Linked DNA regions of Caenorhabditis elegans. The protein of the gene in region 1 interacts with the protein of each later gene in a pairwise test. Each region holds a gene or a part of one and is shown on either strand. Other genes may lie near its edges.

What was found. The genes of interacting proteins can lie anywhere in the genome.
Region 2: the proteins of magi-1 (region 1) and add-1 interact in a two-hybrid assay, tested with the Caenorhabditis elegans proteins (2 studies listed by BioGRID).

The regions. Positions count from the first base shown.
Region 1 is NC_003282.8:11,713,452-11,718,074, reverse strand, and holds the start of magi-1 (Guanylate kinase), read right to left. Parts: upstream 3,037-4,623; 5' UTR 2,986-3,036; coding exon 2,967-2,985; intron 2,920-2,966; coding exon 2,855-2,919; intron 2,679-2,854; coding exon 2,612-2,678; intron 2,092-2,611; coding exon 1,854-2,091; intron 1,809-1,853; coding exon 1,612-1,808; intron 1,551-1,611; exon of another isoform or gene 1,374-1,550; intron 1,216-1,373; coding exon 1,096-1,215; intron 857-1,095; exon of another isoform or gene 712-856; intron 1-711.
Region 2 is NC_003284.9:4,853,995-4,861,582, reverse strand, and holds add-1 (Adducin-related protein 1), read left to right. Parts: upstream 1-1,539; 5' UTR 1,540-1,546; coding exon 1,547-1,645; intron 1,646-1,881; coding exon 1,882-1,974; intron 1,975-2,047; coding exon 2,048-2,156; intron 2,157-2,478; coding exon 2,479-2,621; intron 2,622-2,740; exon of another isoform or gene 2,741-2,890; intron 2,891-3,016; coding exon 3,017-3,160; intron 3,161-3,208; coding exon 3,209-3,376; intron 3,377-3,722; coding exon 3,723-3,782; intron 3,783-3,839; coding exon 3,840-3,938; intron 3,939-4,242; coding exon 4,243-4,327; intron 4,328-4,382; coding exon 4,383-4,468; intron 4,469-4,529; coding exon 4,530-4,802; intron 4,803-5,346; coding exon 5,347-5,559; intron 5,560-5,608; coding exon 5,609-5,867; intron 5,868-6,161; coding exon 6,162-6,263; intron 6,264-6,371; coding exon 6,372-6,431; intron 6,432-6,527; coding exon 6,528-6,617; coding exon of another isoform or gene 6,618-6,691; intron 6,692-6,709; coding exon 6,710-6,753; intron 6,754-7,108; coding exon 7,109-7,180; and 4 more. UniProt on the Caenorhabditis elegans protein: Membrane-cytoskeleton-associated protein that promotes the assembly of the spectrin-actin network. Plays a role in time-dependent memmory loss and the retention of conditioned behavior over time.

The DNA.
Region 1 (4,623 bases):
CTAAAAGAATTTAGACCTGAATGTCAAAACGCCAGTTTTGCATCTCTATTTCAATAACAATCCTCATCATCATTATGCCCTTTCAACTTCCATTTTCGGACTTACTGTCAAAACTAGTACTGGTTCAGGGTACTTGACCGAAAAATGGCATTGTTTTGACAAGGACGCAAATAGGCAGGCAACGACACCAGTAAAGAAAAAAAACGAAAAAAAAACTTCAGGATTCAACTTTTGCTGCTAACTCCTTGTCTTCTCCGAGAATTTAGTTCAAACAGGGATTAAGCAGAGAAAGTGTAGGGCGAGAATAAGAAGGATGCGAAAAAGTAAGAAGAAGAATAGAAACGAAACAGAAAAGAATGGAAGAAGCCACTATGAGATTGAATTAACGAAATTGAATCGAATCTGTGGGGGCATCACCAAGTCTTCTCTTTCCGAAATGGAATGAAGAGGAGCCAAAAACAATAGTCAAGTTTACTGCTACTTGTCACATGGATATTGGTGGGCTCCGATGACAAGTGAGCATGATATATGCATTTTCTCAAGGCGGACATATGGATGAAAAATGATCTGGGAAGGCAGATCCGTTGAGAAAGAATTTTCAAATTTTAGGGTGCACTTTTTACACATGCAAAGAATGTAATCCACTCCAATTTTGGTGAGAGAGGTGAATGAACCATTGTGTCAGGTAAGAGAGAAAGAGAGAGGGACAACGGAAGGAGAAAGATGCAAAATGAGCGGAATGGGACTGTGTTTTGTCACGAAATAGTGTTATGAAGCAGGAGACGTAGAGGGTACAGTCCTCCATTTGAGGACATACCAAGATTGCGTAAGAGGGTAGACGAGGACTGTGAGGTAGAAAACAGGTAAGTGAGTGTGATGAGAAGGTAATAGGGGATATAAGAGATCGCAGACAAAGACAGATGGAGCTATTGAAGCGGTGGAAATAAGAAATAAGAAATTCTTAAGACAGGTGCCGAAAAAGGCTACCAGGTGGCTGGATTTTACGGAGATTCGCGAGCAAGTAAAACCGTGAAGCAGCGGTTTTCTTTTATGATAATAAGCGTAAAATAGTTGAACATGGAGAAAAGAGGTTACCTTGATATGTACCATTTTCGAGCAAGTCACCACTGTCGAGAAGCTTATTAAAATCATCTACAGACACAAATCGATAGTGTTCTCCATCAACTTCACCTTCTCGTGGAGGTCGAGTTGTGTCTGAAAATGGTCACTTTGAAATTGAAATTTGTTTTAACTTCAATACTTGTCCCTCCATAATAATCTTTTAGATCAATAACAGGAAGAGATGTTCGTTTGGAAAGAAATGCAGGTTTTAGTGAATGTTTTGGTAAAGGCGAACCGAACATTTTAACACTTCCACTGGTGGCCAGCTTCGGACCCTCCCCCACCTTGTGATGATCCCCTAGATCCTAAATCACCTAATTTAATGGGGCGGATGTCTAGGTTTCTCTAGATCACACACTATTTCATCTCAATGATACTCCCTGTGGGCAGCTGCTAGTGCCATTGAAAACAATGAGGTTTTGAGGAATGAAACTTATAAGTATTAAATCCAATCTAGTTAGTTTCAGATCAACTTTTTTTGTAACTCACAAGGAACTGTCTTCTGATATAAATTTTCTCGAATGATAGTCTGAAGTTCACCAGATGATTTTCTATCGGCCAGTAGTTCACAAATATCATCGGTAATTGCTCCAGCTGGTAGAATTTCAATCGCAATTTGATCATGTTCTCTCATCATATCTTCCAATATCCTATTCACTTCAGATCTTACCATTCCTGATACTTTTCTGAAAATTTAAATAATAAAAAAAGAAATGTTCTAGAAAACCTACATGTTCTCAATTGTTAAAAGAATATCGTTAGGATGAACAATTCCAATTAAATCATCACGTCGCACAATATCAATCAGAATGAGTCGTCCAATTGAGGCTCCGCCATGTACTGTAAACGGGGTGATGACGTCTCGAGATGAAGAGTTTCCAGAGTCCGAATGGCAAGAAGATGTCGTGGAAATATGATGATGTTCACTGGCAATACGGATCAGTCGACGAGCAGCAAGTCCGGATGGCACTAGAATATTAAAAATTATTTTCAGTCTTTTTTTGGCTATTTCCTGATTTTTGGTTTTTTTTTCAAAAATGATCTTTCTTGACTTACAATGATTTTTTTTGCTTTAGTTGTTAAATTTTTATTCGGAACCCAAACAAAAAAAAATTTTAAGACAGTCTTGATGAATATTAAAAAATTAGGTATTAACGTGTGCTCCTACTGTGTTTCTTTTGACAGTGAAAGTATTCAACTAGTAAAATTTAGGTTACATTTTTATCTTTAGAAATAATCGAAATATGAAATCTCAGAGTATAGAAATGTAGGTGTAATACTAATAGGGAGCATATTGTATTATATCTATCTATGTTTGAAAAAAAAACTCACTAAAGAATTAAAAACTTTTCAACCACACAATAACTAAAAGCTCTGTTTTATATTTCACTGTAAACTGAACTTTGAAATGCATGGAATATTCAAACTTTAAACTTCTTCGTTAAACTCAATATCTTTCTTGAAGGTCATAAATGATTGAATAACTCACGTTTGTCAGTGGAATCTAGTGAAGTGCTTGGGCTGCTCGTGCAATCGAGCATTTCTTGAAGAGTGGCCTGAAAACTTGGGATAGTGAGGGGAGGAATTCAGAAGGACGACGAACAAGTGGTTGGGAAGAGCCTTCCACTACTTCACTAATCCTTTTTTCTTGCGAATAAACAATGGGAAGTGGTTTTGAAATGAGTTTTATTTTGGGGTGGAGCCGTTAGACATGAAACAAATCAAAACAAACCTGAAGCTTTTCAATTTCCAATGTGAAATCATCCTTTTCTTCATCTCCAATTTTCAGGCAAAGTTCTGAAATTAATAATCTTGATGTTTATGGACTAAACTCTCAATCTCACCAGCTGTTTTGTCGGTCATCTTTTTAGTCGTGGGTTCATTAAGAGAATGTCGAGTTGGAATGTCTTCTCTGCAACGAAAATGAATTACTATCTTCAAAGTTCGGAATGGCCCATGAGAAAGGGGACCGCATAAATTTTGCGAAAACAAATAAATATTTATTACGAAACAACCGTTTGTGTGTCGGCGACCTCAAGAGAACCCGAAGGAGAGCAAGGGACAAGCAAAAGATGAGAAAGAGTGCAGTGTGAATATGAATAAGGCGCTGTCGAAATGACAAATTAATAATGAGTCAGAGATTGGAAATTGGAAGAAGAATAAATAAGAAGAAGTGCGCGCAGATTTTTCAGAAAGTTTAGCACTGTCAGGTGACAACAAGATATTTGCGCAAAATGTATTGAAAAGTATAGCGCAAAACGAGCAAGAAAAACCGAAAAATGAAGTCTTCGACTAAAAAAATTTCGCGCGCCCTATTTTGAACTCAATTTGAACAGAAACAAAACAAATCGTGTAATGTTTTGGAAGTTCGAAGATATTATTGATAAAAGAAAAAAATGAAAAAAGCGAAAAAAAATTGAATTGTTCCATGTAGTGTCTTAAAGAGGTATGTGGAAGACTAGCAGGGATGCAATACTGTTTATCGATCGACTAAACCGAGGGGCAACTCTAACACGCGTGCAGTGTACCCACCACCATTTGGCCTACATGAATTGCGGGAAATGTAGTGTGTTGTATATATTTTAGTGCGGTCACACCTGTTGTTTTCTACGGGTATCACTCAATAAATTTTGTTACTAAAAGAGACATGAAAAATATTTAAACTCTATTTTTTAGTAAAAACTGGTGTTTCTAATAAAAATTCAACTAAATAATATAAGTAAGTTTTCAATACATATTTATAATGAATTAGATAAAATTGAAATATACATGTTAACTTAATAATTTTAGAGTCATGATTACTGTAGCACTTTAAAACTTTCTAGTAATAAATTAGAAAATTTAGACAATATTTTGAAAAGAATAACATTACTTTAGCGAAAATACTTGCCACTTTCGAAAATTTGAAATTCGTCAAAAATCCCACTTTCGTTCGAAAAGCCGTGAGTCATTGCACCTGGGAAACTCGATTCCCTTCTTTCTTAATGTTGGAAAATTTTTGAATTTAAAAATAAAATACAACTATTAGGAGCTATAGTTTCAGGACAGTCGGAAAATTTTCAATTTGGTCCAGAAGGTTCGAGTTGACCGTCGGCAAGCCTAGAGCATTTTCTTGCGAGGCGCAAAAAAGCTGAATGTGATATTTGGAGAACAAACATACACTTTGCCGTTACGGCACGCACTTTTGCTTCTCGCCGATAATATGGTGAACGGTTTTCTCATAAAGCGTTAAATCCTCTGCGGATAGAAAAAGAAAGGGAGACAGGTCAATTTTGTAACATACTAATGGTAAACGCACCGAGACGACAGCGCTGGTCAGGCTCATATAATTCGTCAAGTTCTTCTTCTTCTTCTCCGATTTCTACACAAACTTCCGAAAGTTTTCAACATCTGCCACGCATCTGGCATGTTGTGCTGCAGCAGTCACCACAGAATCACAGTGATGACAGCGACTTTAGAAACAAAAATGAAGGACAAGAAGTAGAAGAAGGGGACGGCTGT
Region 2 (7,588 bases), on another chromosome or scaffold:
AGTTTGTTTTACTATCGTCACCATAGGTGTGTGTGCGTGTGTGTTTGATATAAGATTTAATCGCAATTCGGCATGTTTCTTCTATTGTTGCCGCATTGGTTAAACACCAGTTTGGGGTTTTTTTGGAAGAGTATTTCAAGTTTCTGAAAGTTAAAGCATTTCAAATTTCAGACTAAGAATTTTACAGTAAGTGGTATTATAAATAATTGCATTGACCGCAAATTATTGAAAAAGCTTAGAATTTTTAAATAGAAATATTGTTTCAGCATTTCGTAGTAGTGCTGCAATATTATCTTATCGGAATAATTAATCTGAAAAGTTCAAACCGATTTTTAAATTTTGACAAATTTATTTTGAGTTATAAAACTCTGTTTGCGGAAAAATGGTTACTTTCCCAAAAAGTAATGAAATCTCACAAAACTAATTGGCCTAGCTCAATTCGAAAATTTCCACTTCCATTTTGCTTCACCGTTCTTTTTCATTTGAGCCACCCTACTTGTGCACCACTCGGACAAGTGCATTCTATTTATTCCATTTTCTTTTCATTGTGATTAACCATCCTGAATAAAATGTCTTGGGTTTTCTGCTCGGCGCCTCTTTCTATCTTTCTCCAAAATAGAGTACATGTAGACTTGAGTTTCTTTTCGGTCTTCCTTTTCTTCCCTCATTCCTTAAATTAGATTTGACATAAGAAGAACTTTATCGCAACAGGCGGATACCTTAAGGTTCTCATTCTTGTTTGCCGTTTATCGCTTCCATCGCAGACAAAAGTAGTGTGTTGGAGAATTTGACTGACGCAAAAACCACAAACATTTTAGGGTCAAATTCACATTTCCAATTAATATTTTTCAATATTACCGTTTGCCATGCTTCATAGGTAATTAGATGTATACACTTTCTCATGGCAAGTGTGCCACCCGTAGAGCAAATGTTATATAACGCAGGAGGTATGCAATAACCAAATTTTGTATACAAATCAGATGGCTCGCCATCGAATAGTCTCACGCTGAATGAACTATTTTTCGATCAATTCATGCTTTTTAGTACAGCTTTGTGTAAGCTGTGTGCTAGTAGAAATGTCAAATTATTTTCATGAAATTGTATACATCCGATTTAGCATATCTTAAAAAATCCTTATTTGTAAATACAGTTTCCGATAACTTGTGAACCCTTTTTTACTTAATTTGATATTTCAATCTTTAGTAAGTTCAACTGTTAACACCTTTATAACAGTTTTTCATCTTGAAAAAATGTCTAAAAATTTGACAAACAGAAATTTAACGTTAAAAGACCAATAATGAAACAGGAAAACAAGACAATATCAAAAGTAGGCCATCCATTTGCGCGGGAATTTAAACATAATTCAGAAAATCATCGCACATTTAGAATAATTTTATTATTTTTATTTTTAAATTCATATTTGTACACTACATCCCATTTTCATATTTGCAAAGTAATGTTTACTTTTCTAAACTTTGTGATTTTTTCTTGAATTTCAATATTTCAATCTCATTTTCAATTTTCTTAAACTTCAATAAAGTTTCAGATGATTGGAAGAAAAGAGAAGGAACGGGAACGTCCATACTATCGAGACCCAGATGACCCTGAATATATCAAAGATTTGCAAAGACCGGCAGTAATCAAAGTAAGTGCTGCTCCAAGTTTTTCCGTAAAAAAAACTAGAGCACATCAAGTTTTCCCTCCTCAGCTCTCTTTTTTCTCTTTTTCCAAGAACTTCAATTAATGAAACCTGCCATTATTAGCGCAGTGTCATTTTTTGAAAAGACTTGGGAAATTGAATGGAAAATGCAAGAGAAGAAGAGAAAGGAGTGCTCGCTCTTTAATCAGCTTAAAAGATGGATGAGAAATGCTCTATTTTAGGAGGATTTGTCAGAGATGGAGAGACGGAAAAGAGTGCAACAGATACTTGAATCAAAATCATTCTGCCACGAGCTAGAAGAAGTTATTCGTCAGGTTTGTAATTTGTCTTTTTTCTCGTTATTTTGTTTCAATAAATGTAATTTTGTACAAAACATTTTACATCTAGGAGTGTGATACAGCACGTACGGATCCGGATCACTTGCAAGTACTCCAGAAACTTTCGGACCTCACAGTTCCACAAGGAAACATGTCGTTTGGCAACCTTCACACATATGGTTTGTATTATATTTTGGAATAATGTATTCGAAAAACGGATAACTTGGTTTTTTTTCCTTATTTTGACAAAAGAAACTCGATTTATGCTTATTCACACGAGGAGTTACAACATGTTATAATGCAGAAAACTTTCCTATACGAATTTTAGCTATGCTGAAACCTTGTGACACAAAAGTAGATATACTTTTTTTGTTTTTCTAGTAAAGTATTATAATATCAAAAATCTAAGATTCCCATGCATAAACAAAATTGCAATATTTTTACAAACTTGAACTTCTGTAAGTTGACAATTTCCGATAAATCATGTAATCTATGTTTCAGGTGGAAACACCATTGCAATTGCTGATCTTCGTGGAAACGAGAAGTATTCAAAAGCGGAACGTATCCAGAGAAACAAATTGGCATGCTTGTTTCGACTAGCTGACCTGTTCCAGTGGTCACAAGGGATTCATAACGAAATCTCGGTAGGGTGCTTGAAGTATTGACTTTTTAAAATTACCACAAAAATTTAAAACTTGAACCTGTGGTTTAAAGTAAAATTTTGCAATCAACCAAATTTATTTTACAATATAGCAAATACAACGCGTGTAGAAATTGTATGAATTTCAACTTTATTAAAATACGAAACTTCTGAAACAGCTGCCAAAATGTAAGGATTAATCAGCTTTAAATTGGGATTTTTTTTGTTCAGTGTTGTGTTCCGGTTACACACCACTTTATTTTCCGACGTGAGTTAACTAGCAGGTCCATTAACGACGTGTTTAAAAAAATGTATTAAAATTATATTTCTATGAAACTTCTACAAAAGTAAAAACACCATATTTACCTTTCTAGAAGAATTTTAACAAAATTGATTTAGTATCGAACCAACGATGAGGATAACACTTTTCTGATGAATCCATTTGGTCTTCTCTACCATGAAATCACTGCTGCGACCATCGTGAAGATAGATGAAAATGGAAAAATTCTGGATTGCGGGACACTGAAAGCTGGAGTCAACCAGGTACCTTTAAAATCAAAAACGACTTATTTTTGCACTCATCAAGTTAAGCCTGCGTTTCTTCTTCATTCTGCAATTTACAAAGCTCACCCAATGGTCAGATGCATTCTTCATATGCACACGGCAATTGTGGCGGCTGTGGCTAGTATGAAATGTGGTTTATTGCCTCTATGTAAGGAAGCAATGGTGCTTGGGCCAGTTGGATATCACGATTATCAGGTTAGCAAAAATATTGAATTTGAAGAAAAACAATCACTTGTGTGGTTATTTTCATAATCTGAAAAATTTAAGTGTGAACGAGAGAAAATTGAAAATCTGAAGGTTAAAGAAACTAGAAGCAAAATCGGCAACCGTTTTTTAAAATTATTTTTTGATGATTTTTTTCCAGTCAAAGTTTTGGTACTTTGCCAAAATTTGAAAAAGTTTATCATGTAAATCGGTAGTTTTAGTACTTAAAGTAGATATAGAAAAGTTCATCGTCGACCTTCGAACGGTTTAAATTTTCATTAACCTTTCACATGACTTTAACTATAAAATCAAAAAAATTGTTGAATTTTCTTTTCAGGACATTGGTGATGATGATATTCAATTTGACGAAATTATTGCAAATCTTGGAGACAAAAACGTGCGTTAGCTTTACTTTGAACTGCTTTTCTATCCGCTTTTCTATGCTTCGTTTCAGGTCCTTTTCCTCCGCAATCAAGGATTCCTTGTTGTCGGTGACACTATCGAGCATGCCACTTTTCTAGCCAACAACACTGTGATAGCATGCGAAACTCAGGTTTTTGAAGTTTCTCATATTTAAAAATTACACGCTGCCCTGCCGCCAGTAGTTCAATTCTATCGCCAAATGCTTATTTTTTATGAAATGACGATGGGATTAAAACATTTAAGGTTCTGCTGATCAGAGGAGAAGGATGTTTTGTTGTTGGAAATTCCGTTGAAGAGACATCTATAATTATGCGCAACTTAGTCACTGCTTGTGACCATCAGGTTTAGAAAAGTTATAATAAATGAGAAATATTATTTCATATCAAATACAAAATACATAATCAAAGTTTCCAAAAACAAAATATTTTTGTAAGGTACGTGCCGCAAGGGCTGGACTTGACAACCTCATCATTCCGGAAGAGAAAGCAATACAAAGAGCGTTCAGAAATTCTCGAAATAGTAAGATTCTGCAATATATATTGAAATTTAAAATACATCTATAATGCTTTTGTAGCGAATTCCCTGAAACGAAATGGAACAGTTGATTGGAGAGTCGGAGAATTAGAATGGGAGTCTTGGATGAGAGTGTTGGATCATGCGGTGAGCAGAATTTTTTCGCCCTGCTCACAGTTGTTTCACTAAAAATTGCTACTAATTATAGAATTTTCAAACCGGGCACGTCTATCGTCAACCACAACTGCGGCCCAAATCTGCAATGTCTACGTCAATGGTGAACAACAATGATGTTGCTGTTCCGCCAACTACATCAGCTTATGGACAAATTGATGAAACAAACTTGGAAAGTGTATCTGCACATCGTCTGGCTTTACTGCGCAAGGAGCAGGAGCGGGTTCGTTGGATGAACAGTCCAAATGCATATCAGAAGGTTGAATTTTTGGAGTATGGAGCAGATAACCCAAAGAAGATAACTAAAGTAAGAACTGTTTTCAACTTTTGCAGTACGAAAATAAAATTTGTACATGAACTTCTGATGGTTTGTGTCATTATGTTTACACAGTTATTTTCATATAAATGTACAAAAAAATTTGAAGAAACATTAAATTAAAAACTATAAACAGAGATTTGAAAACCCAAATAGCTATGATATGGGTGGGCCCTACTAGTGAATTTTTGTTTTGGATAATTTCTATGTCACTAATTTTTGGATTGTTGTCATTATGCACATTATGAATACATGTTATGCTAACGCAATAAAAAAATGTATTTTTCAATATTGGAGTAGTGTCAGAAAATGTTCAAAATTGCTCCAATACCAACTATCGATTCAGGCTGTGCCTAATTGTGTTTTGAAAATTTTGATCCGCAATAAAAATATGTATTAAAGTTTTTTGAGAAGTCTCATTATAAAATTCGGTCGCATTTGGTTATTGAGTTCAAATTAAACATCTATGATAAATCATTGGAGAAAAAATTAATTTTAAAGTGTTTTAAATTTACACAAGTTCAAATCATTTCAGTGGGTTCATGACGTCAACGTTCCATCCGCGAGTGGAACCCCTGTCAAAATCAGCAGTGTTCATCAATTCAGTCCTGCGTCTTCAAATCCTAAAGAATTTAAAGAAAAACAAAAAGCTATCAAAGAAAACAACAGACTGGGAACTCTTTCTGCTGGACCACAAAGCCAGATTTTGGACAGTGTGACATATGAAGACATTGCACTATTGATTAAAGTGAAATATCCCGTCTTGAAAATTCATTTATTATTTTGTAATCTTTCAGCCTGATAATGACGGAACAGTCGGACAGAGCTCGACCGCTGACCGAGCAATACTTATCGGAACTGCCAGCAAGGGAATCATTGATAGGCAATTTCAGCATCATGCTCAGGTGTACCACCAAATCTATGCGCCGAATCCATTCTCTGTAGAAACTGATGCAGACATCAAGAAATATGTAGACATGGTGAAGGCCAAGAACTCGCAAAGCGCTCCTGTCTCAGCGAGAAGTGGTTACTCTCAATACGATGAGGTTGAAGCTGGTAAGGTAGCTGAAACAAAAAAACAGCAATTTTTAAAGTCGTTTTTGAAAACGAAAACTGAAATTCCTTTATTTAAAACGTAATAAAATAAAATAAACACTGCAAAAAATCCATGTTGTGTTGCGAGTTTTTAACTGAAAATCTGGGGTTCAAAACACTTGTGGGATGCCACTTGTTTTGAGTATGTTCTTTTTGGCTCCACTTACAAAATATATTTTTGAAAATATATTGCTGACAAAGGTCTAAAAATAGCTTCTCTAGTTGTAACCAGCCGATTTTCAAAAATTATTCCAGATACAGTTTCCTTAATGCAAGGAGTACGAGAACATAAACTTTCTCAAGCGGCTCTGAGCGCATCTGACGACGGCCTGAATGCCGGAATCTCCCCGAATAATGGTAATTTTTATGTGGTTGCTCCTTCACATTTTATCGATGCGCCTGTTTTCTATCGCTTTGTTTTCCAGTGTTTTAAATTATTTGAATGCCTATTTTCCATATTTCCAGTCCGAACTTCCGAAGAAAGCGTCAATACGTCGTACATGAGCCAGTCAGTTGTGTTCGATTGTAGGTTTATTTTCCTTATTCTTTCTGTGTAGCATGTGTGTGGTGGCTTCAAAGCTTTTTATAACTTTCACAGATTTTCTAACTCTTTGTGTACAGGCGATCACCCTTCTCCGATGTCAATTTCGACAGAGTACCCTGAAAAAGTTAAAATGACGCGATTTTCGTCGACTCAAGGAACAAGTGAAGGTATATTTGTAACTACGTGGTGTCTATTTGTGTTTTCACTTTTTTTTCGAGCGCATCAGCTAACTAATCAATAACTGAGTTGTAACATTTAGGCAATACAACGTCTCGATCGTGCACTACAGCGTCTGAAGAAGAAGTAAGAATTTTTGGAAGCAAATAGTTTTTCAAATGTTTCAAACTTAAAAAAGAATGAGGTTTCTTGCCATAAATAACAGAAAAACTATAAAGTAATATATTAAATTTTTAATAATGTTTTTTTTCAAATTAGAAGTTTTTTTTTGATATTTTAACAATTTCTGAAAAATTTTAAAAAAATTCAATGAAAAAATTAAACTTTTTACAGTTGTATTCTCTATATATAAACTGTTTTCTGTTATTTTGGGCAAAACCCCACTGACTCTACTCTACCTTCAAATAAGATTGAAATATTTGCTAACTTCTCTGCTTTTGGGACTAATCAAGCACTTATTTTACACCGTTTTTTATTTCAGAAGCCTACAAAAGATGAGAAAAAGAAGAAAAAGAAAGGATTTTTGTCATTTATGCGAAAAAAGGACAAATGAAAAATGAGAGTTTTGCTCTCACCTTGCTCTCACCAACACGTTCACATCACTTAACTCTAACACTTTTCGATAACTTTTTCTATGTTTTCTTTTCAATTTTCAGATCCGGATATACTACGCCCAATTTACCGTCAAGAAACATATGTCTAGTCTCTGGACTTTTCTTTCTTTCCCGTGAACTTTCAATTCCGGTTATGGATAATAGCAACACTCTGTGCTTTGTCTTTTGTTTTTCGAATATTTTTAAAATGTCATTTTGTACGCATATTTTTTTTATATTATGTATTTGCATTTCCATCAAGTTTTTTATACTTTCATCTATAAATAATTATATTATATTACAAAAAAAAGCCAGGACAGAGAAGAATTCGGCAAAGTGACTACGAAAATAGCTTTTCTCAACGAATT